Linked DNA regions of Nothobranchius furzeri. The protein of the gene in region 2 purifies or fractionates together with the protein of the main gene of each other region. This does not show direct contact. Links are inferred from orthologs where the notes say so. Each region holds a gene or a part of one and is shown on either strand. Other genes may lie near its edges.

Region 1 (4,239 bases), on a different chromosome or scaffold from region 2:
ACAATCTGATTATTGTTTCAATCATCTCAGGTTCTCCCGACCCTGCTGGTCTACAAGGCCGGGGAGTTACTGGGTAACTTCCTGGCTGTCACCAAACACCTCAATGAAGAGTTCTTTGCCACAGATGTGGAGGCGTTTCTCAATGAATACGGCCTCTTACCAGAGAAGGAGTTCACTGCGTGTGCGGATGATGAAGACGATGGAGCAGACGTGGAGTAGAAGATGAAGAAAGACAGAGAATGTCATAAAACGTGTTTCAATCAGGTCACATGCACGCAAATTAAAGAACGAGCACCCAACAGTCAACAATACTCATGCTGATGCCTTAGAATGTAGGCGTGAGGAAGTCCGTACAGAAACCCTGCTTTGCAGAAACTTGTATCATTGCACTCCAATAAAAGATATTTATTCGAACTCTTTCTGTCTGTTGAAATGGAAAACAGGAAGTTATTTCCATGTGCATTAATTCCAGATTAGGAAGATGCAACATATGGAACATTATGCTGCTGCTACCATGAAAATATAATTCCTCTAACTAAAAGGCTTGTGTAATGGTTTGCATTACGTGATGTGAATATGTGGTTTAAGCTAAATTAAAGTCATGAGACTCATGTGGAAATTGACCTTTCTGCTCTCAGAGTGATTATAAAGGCACAGAGGAACCAGGAGGACTTTACTGTCGAGAGGGAAAAGATAACTGATGTCTTTTGGGAACGTGGAAATTATTTATGTGGAAAAATAATAAATTCTGCTGTGCACTACCAAGTATTACATCCTCTCAGTATAGAGGTGGTTAAATGAAAAAAGTAATAGTAATTTAGGAAGCACTGATAATATTTATACATTAAATCCGAGTGGCTCTGAAGTGAGAACAAAGCGTTCTAAATGTTCTGGTTTATTTAGCATTTTTATCAGCATCCGTGTTTTGCCATCTCAAAACAAGTCAAATATAGTCCAGGTTTTAGACAAAACAAATTTTAAGCTCCTCTCAGAGTGACAGCTGGAAGCTTAATGTGCATCCCAGTTCATAGAGGCATTAAAGGAATAAAAAATCTGACCCCAAAACAATATGCACAAAATAGCAACATAGGATAAGGAGTAAATATTAGATTAAACCTTTTATCCCCAAAAAGACACACACAAAATATGAAAGTGTAAAAAGTAAAGTTATTATATATTTCTAGCCAAATTTTTCTTATTTTTTTTTAAATTAATAAATACTTAATTACATCATTAGAGTTGGAATCATATATTTCTATAACCAGTCCACTAGGGGGCAGTAGTGTTCTCTAAAGGCTGCCTGTTAAGTAGAAAAAGAATACCTTGAGGTTCAGCGGTCTTTAGAGGATAAATAAAAGACTCGAATGGTTGTTATTTGTCCAGGAGATCCTTCAGGTGATCTTAAATTGTTAAATTAAAAATTTGAAGCCATAAATCGGAAGAAAATGCAGGATGACGCGCGGTACCTCAAACGGTGAGTTGAAAGGTGCGGCTAGAACCGTACTGGCCGTTGAAATTAGCCATGTTGATATAATTTTAGGGATGACAAGTAATAATCTCTGGGTGAGACGTAAGAGTGTTTTAATTATTGTTTTAATTTGAATTCGTCCTAGTTTTAGTGTGCAGCTGTATGCTTGGAGGTTGAACCCGATGTCTTGTTTAAAATTTAGGGGAATTTAAGGTTCCGACGCTGGACTGAAGATTGGACCATTCCTGTTTATTTCGAATATAGGCAATTATTAACTATCCCGAGCCACGAAATCATTCGGCATAAACGAATTTCACACAGCTGTCACCTATAAGATACACTATTCCTGAAAAGCATTTCTACAATCACCGCCCCCTGCTTCGTTAGCGTTTAGCTCATCAGAACGAGAGACCAACAACAGGATTTTAGTATCATGTGCTTTTTCTTGCATCTGTTTCTGGAAGAAACGTTTCAGTCGCAATCCTCCTGTTAACTGTAATAATCAGTGGAACTGCTCCAGAGAGGAAGGAATGCTGGGAAATCTGGGCTCCTGCTAACCCTGAAGATTCTGTTAAACATAAAAACAATGTAGCCGGATAATAAATCATACTAACTAGGTTTATCACGGGACATTTGATTCAGTGTTGTAGCTGACGAGGTTTAGCTTTTTTTTTAAATAAAAGCAGTCTTTGTTATGTTTGTGCATGGGCGTGTCCTACTGCTTTTGATCCAGGAACACATATAATAAAAATAGCTGTCACTGCCAAGAGCTTATTACTGCATTCAACATTAAAGAGCAAGTCACCCCCAAATCAACTTTTTCTTGCTGATAAACTATATAAATGTGTAACTAACTGTGCTGCAGACACGTGTCGTCAATAATTTGATACTTCAGTGCATCTTAGTTAAAATTTAAATATTCTGCCTAAAACTGTCAGTGTTGCGCTGTTGTCAGGTAAAAACTCTGCACTGCATTTGAATTTAAATCTGCCACCGCTATTGGCTAAGAGGTATGCTATGATGTAAACTGGTCTATTATGATGTCACAATGCCATTGTGAGCCTGTGTGTGTGTATTTGTTAGTGGCTCCGCCCTCTCGGTCTGCTAGGCAACAGCATTTGTTGCATTTTTCAAACATGAAGAGGGAGTGAAGTAAGTTTCTTGTAGGGGGTGACTTGCTCTTTAAATTGCATTATGGAAATAATTGTATTTAACTCAGATTTACTTTGGAAACTAAAACCACAGGCGTAAACTGTTTATTATCATTCATAGAAAAGTGACTGCAGGCAGTTTGGATGTCCATCCCACTGAGAAAGCCCTTGTGGTCCAGTATGAGGTGGAGGCATCCATCCTGGGGGAGAATGGAGGTCCGATGCTGGGTGAACGCAAGGAGGGACAAAAAATGTGAGTAAGCTCCTAATTTATCGTTGACAGCATCTGCCCCTGTTCTTTATCTTATTAGAAATAACCAGTTAATGGCAGTTTTTGCTGGTTTATGTAACATGTTATGTGTCATCCTTCTCCTTTCCCCTTCAGAATCCGCGTGAAAAGCCTCTCTCCTACTACAGATGTGGCCGCTTTGGCCAGGAAAGTGGTAGAGGAGTGTAAACTCATCCCCGCCTCCCGCTTGCCACAGGTGGAGCAGCTGCTTTATTACCTACAGAACAGGAAATCCTCCCCAGTGGAGGCCAAAGGGGGTACGTTTAGAAGCTTTTACCTGTTAGCTCTGATTTATTGTTCAAACACACCAATAAAGTATGAGAGGGACTAACTGCACAGTGACATTAAGAAGCAGGATGTAAAACATTCACTGCTTTTCTTGTTTGCCTTTAGTGGAAAAGAAAGAGAAGAAAACAGTGAAGCCTAAAGATCTGACACCATTTGAGGGAACGGAGGTAATGATGTTAAGTACTCGTTTCATTCCTCATTCGTTGTGTTAGGTGTAACAGTGTGTGTTTCTTTCTTTGTTGTTTTATTTATTTTTCGTGTGTAGTTGAACGAGGAAGCTAGCATAACAAAGATGGATGAGTATGTTGAGCTGCTTTATGAAGGCCTCCCAGAGAAGATCCGAGGCTCTGGTCTCATTTTGCAGCTCGCCCGTAACCCAGATAACCTGGAGGAGCTGCTTTACAACGGTACATGTTCCTTCCAACATGCTTACGCAGCCATCCTCTAGTTGTTTAGCGTGAATTTCTCCCTGTTTGTGTCTACAGAAGCAGCTTTAGGTGCGCTGGCCCGGGTTCTGAGAGAGGACTGGAAACAGAGCGTAGAGCTTGCTACTATTATCATTTACATCTTCTTCTGCTTTTCAAGGTAACCCTGATGCACAGCTGGCGTGATGGTCCTTCAGTACTTCTAAATGATTCATCCTTTCACATCCCTTCCTCCAGTTTCTCCCAGTTTCACGCTGCAGTGAGTCACTATAAAATCGGAGCGCTTTGTATGAGTGTGGTGGAACATGAACTGAAGAGGCATGACATGTGGCGTGAGGAGCTACGCAAGAAAAACAAAGCTTATATCCATTTTCTGCTATCATTTTGTCCATTTAATTTAAGATGATCGATTTTTTTGAGGTCTTCTGTATTGTTTCTGTTGCCCTTGACTATCTTTTGTGCACGTGAGTCTGCGCCAGAAAATGGCTCCTTAAGACGAGACCAGGACAAAACGCTGAGAAAATACCAAGCCCTTCTGGCTAAGCAGGAGCAGCTGCTCAGAGGTGAAACAGGATTTTTCCTTTTAAATTTTCATGGGATTAAAACCTCTTATAAATA
Region 2 (3,649 bases):
TTGGTGCCAAAGAGTTAAAGCTTTAAAAACAAATAAAATAATTTCTATTTTCATCTTAAGTGATGAGTAGCCAGTGAAGTGATCCCAGCTCTGGAGTAGTCAACAAACACGAAGGTGGCTGCTGTCTGCTTCAGTCGCTCTGATATAAGCATGATCTCGGTTCTCTCTTCAATTTTTCTAAATCGTGAGAAGACATTTTTGAACATTTTGTATTTTTTGTCATTTTCTTCAATCAGGAAAGAAGAAGGTTTCTCCAGGCAAGATGGTGGAGATGCAGGCAAAGATAGAAGAAGAGAGAAAAGCGTTAGAGGCCAAGTTGGACATGGAGGAGGAGGAGAGGAACAAGGCCAGAGCAGAGCTGGAGAAAAGGGAGAAGGACCTCTTTAAAGCCCAGTGAGTTGACAAAAATAAACCAACATGTTGTTGAATACTTGTGGAAGTTACTCATTAATAATCTAAACTTCTCAGGCAGGAGCATCAGCTTCTCTTAGAGAAATTATCTGCCTTAGAGAAGAAGGTGATAGTGGGAGGAGTGGACCTTCTGGCCAAGGCTGAGGAGCAGGAGAGGCTCCTGGATGAATCGAACAATGAACTCGAAGAACGTCGCAAGAGAGCCGAGCAGCTGCGTAAGGAGCTTGAAGAGAAGGAGGTATGAAACCAGCTGTCTGCTCGGTAAATGCAAATTCATTTACACAATAATCTACAGATTAGAAATCTGAGCAGGTGACCAAATAGTCATTTATTAATAACGCCAACTTTAAGCTGCATTTTACAGTAAAGCTTATTAAAACGTTGACTTGTTTACCGGTAATAATTATCTTGCTAAATCTAGACAAACCCATGTCTTCTACCATAAGCCTGCTGCCTCACCACCATCCTGCACAGGAGCAGACAGGATGTGATACCATGCTGCCACAGACCACACAGTTCAGTCAAATTGCTTTCACATTTTGGTTAGAAAAGGGGTTAAAACCTTTGTTTCATTTAATAACGATGGAGAATGGTGCAGTGGTGCAAGGTTGTAATAGTTTGTAATGGAATCTTGTTTTTGGTGTGATCTGTGACTTTTGTTCCTCTTAAAACAGCAAGAACGTTTAGACATAGAAGAGAAGTACACCAGCCTGCAGGAGGAGGCTCAAGGGAAGACCAAGAAGCTGAAGAAAGTCTGGACCATGCTTATGGCTGCTAAATCAGAAGTAAGCAAAACAGATAAAACCTCATTTCATGTAGCTTAACTTTCACCTCATCATCTTCAAATCAACACCTCAGCTGGGATACCACTCAATGTCAGCCCCTACCAGCTCTAAATGCTCACGCCAGACCATAACTGTGCTACATTATAAAACACAGAGGAACCAAATGTGCTCAGACTCAGTGGCGCAAAAAGTGGGTGTTCAACGTATGTGATGCATAGGGGACCCAGGCTGGAGGGGGTGCCAAAGCAATGATGCTAAAAATATTTTTAGTCTGCATGTCCTGTGCTTAATAACAAGTGTGTACTTGTTCCTTTTGGTGTGTGTGTGTGGGGGGGGGGGTCAGACCTTCTCCCCAGTGGACAGACTGGGACCGAGGCGACACTACCGACTGATTGGCAGGCTGAAATTACACCCATGGGGGGGGGTTCCCATGCGCGATTCATTTTCATGCTGGATGCTGTTGAGTAAACCTCTCTCTCTCTCTCTCTCTCTCCCTCCCTCTCCCTCTCTCTCCTCTGTGTGTGTGTGTGTGTGTGTGTGTGTGTGTGTCACAAGATTATGAGGACACACAGCAAATAATGTGGTTCCGAGTTTCCAAAAGCAACGCAGCTCATGCCTGCCTTTGTTTAACTTATAATGGCGGGTATCGTGGACTTTCCCGCGTGTATTAAATGTCGCCCGCAGGCATTCCTGAGAAGTCCCTCAGATTTATATGTGAATACCACACCGCCCGTTCAAGACCGCACTCATGCCATCTAGCCAGACCAAACCCCGACCGTGCCAACGCTAATGTGTAAGAGCCATAGGTTCCTCAGTACCAGAGAGCAGTGCTGACCTTTTTATTATGTATAGTTTTGATTGATCAGGGATGAATTCATGTGGATTCATCGATAACTTAATTTATGTTATCTATTATTTGTTTGTCAGATGGCAGATCTGCGACAAGAGAACAGCAGAGAGATCGAGGGCCTCCTGGAAAACATCCGCCAGCTGAGCCGAGAGCTGCGGCTCCAGATGCTCGTCATAGACAACTTTACCCCCCAGGAATACCAGGTGTGTGTGTTTTCCTGACGTGCACTTTTTGAAATGCCTGAATGACTTTAGTTTGCAACAGGAACGCATCTAAAGTATTTAGCATTGTTGCTATTAAAACACCATTACTAGCTGGTGGAAAACCACATAGAGGGTGATTAAGGCCGACAAATATGAAGGCGACCAGAGGCAAAATTCCTTTGAGTGGCATGTGTAAAACCGTATTAAAGTGGCAGGGTGTAGTTTCCTGCCACTAGGATGCAGTAATACAAACAGTTCAGGGTAATATTACACCATATCTTCCCAACTGTCACTAGTTTAAAAAACATTCCAGTTGAATGTTACCTGTGGAGCAGAAAGCATGCAACGTTGGCGTGACTCCTCAGACTTTGATAGTCCTTCAGTTAAGTCCATAAAGCTGGGCGGACACTGTGCAACTTTTTCACTCGTAGCACTCAGCTTCAGCTCAAACTGTACGACTTCCTCGCAGAGCAGATCTCACGAGTCATGTGCTCACACTGCACGACCCACTTCTCGGTTGCGACCTGACTGCTCACACTGTACGTCTGGAAGCAACACGTCGGCCCTAAAAATGTGCTAAAAATAGCAGTTTTTACTCAACACGTCAGACTTTTTTGTCTTGTTTTGCCTGTTGTCCTTCAGGAGTGCTGCAGGAGGACACACAGGGATTTATGGGGTTGGATGACGAAAACGAAATAAAGAAAGTAAATCTGTGTTATGTGATCAGTTTAATTTGACATGAACACGACAAACACGCTTTCTTGACAATCTTTGTGAGTAAAAAAACGTGTAGAAATAAAAACAAACAGCGTGTGTTATTAGGGAAATAGCGGGTGAGCGGTGTTGATGCAGGATTGCGCATTCGCCATGAGCGGTTCTGATACTTTTTGGGTCGCAGCTGCTCGCAGCACCGCTTCAACAGTGCGATGCCCTCACGAGGGACGAGCAAAATTTCAAACACGCCAGAAGTTTGTGCGAGCTCACGACTGCTGGTTGGTAGCTGGTCACGTGGTGTTAATCGCCTCTCGTTACCCCCTGTACACTACACGACGCTCGGCGCAAAACTCGCCCCGATCTCGTGGATTCTCGCACGACTGGAAAATCGGCTCAAAAAAGTGAAAAAGTCGCACAGTGTACGCCCAGCTTTAGAGATTGCAGTGCAATTGTAGTCTATTGCATCTCTTTTTCAATTCTATTTTATGTATGTTTTGGAATGAGTTTAGCAGTTTTGTTATTAAATTCATGTTTCTTAGTACTTCAATGGTTTTGAACATGGTAAAATAACTTCCGTAAGTCGCATGTCCATCCAATCAGCTAGTGTGATGTCATCGACAGGCGCAGGACCCAAGCTGGCCAGAAGAAAACATTGACAGGTGACGCTAGACCTGCACCCTATGCAC

Evidence for each region. The genes of interacting proteins can lie anywhere in the genome.
Region 1: the proteins of kif3a (region 2) and kinesin-associated protein 3 purify together in Homo sapiens (co-immunoprecipitation; 9 studies listed by BioGRID and IntAct, counting the BioPlex papers as one, with this or other methods). This does not show direct contact. The link is inferred for Nothobranchius furzeri from reciprocal best matches to the Homo sapiens genes KIF3A and KIFAP3.

What each region holds. Positions count from the first base shown.
Region 1 is NC_091751.1:58,727,843-58,732,081, forward strand, and holds the start of kinesin-associated protein 3, read left to right. Parts: upstream 1-1,312; 5' UTR 1,313-1,445; coding exon 1,446-1,474; intron 1,475-2,740; coding exon 2,741-2,872; intron 2,873-3,004; coding exon 3,005-3,165; intron 3,166-3,301; coding exon 3,302-3,363; intron 3,364-3,461; coding exon 3,462-3,603; intron 3,604-3,681; coding exon 3,682-3,781; intron 3,782-3,858; coding exon 3,859-3,983; intron 3,984-4,085; coding exon 4,086-4,184; intron 4,185-4,239. Other genes in the region: pdca (phosducin a), read left to right, coding at 31-219. UniProt on the Homo sapiens protein: Involved in tethering the chromosomes to the spindle pole and in chromosome movement. Binds to the tail domain of the KIF3A/KIF3B heterodimer to form a heterotrimeric KIF3 complex and may regulate the membrane binding of this complex.
Region 2 is NC_091741.1:97,907,669-97,911,317, forward strand, and holds part of kif3a (kinesin-like protein KIF3A), read left to right. Parts: intron 1-236; coding exon 237-393; intron 394-468; coding exon 469-649; intron 650-1,085; coding exon 1,086-1,196; intron 1,197-2,123; coding exon 2,124-2,249; intron 2,250-3,649. UniProt on the Homo sapiens protein: Microtubule-based anterograde translocator for membranous organelles. Plus end-directed microtubule sliding activity in vitro. Plays a role in primary cilia formation. Plays a role in centriole cohesion and subdistal appendage organization and function.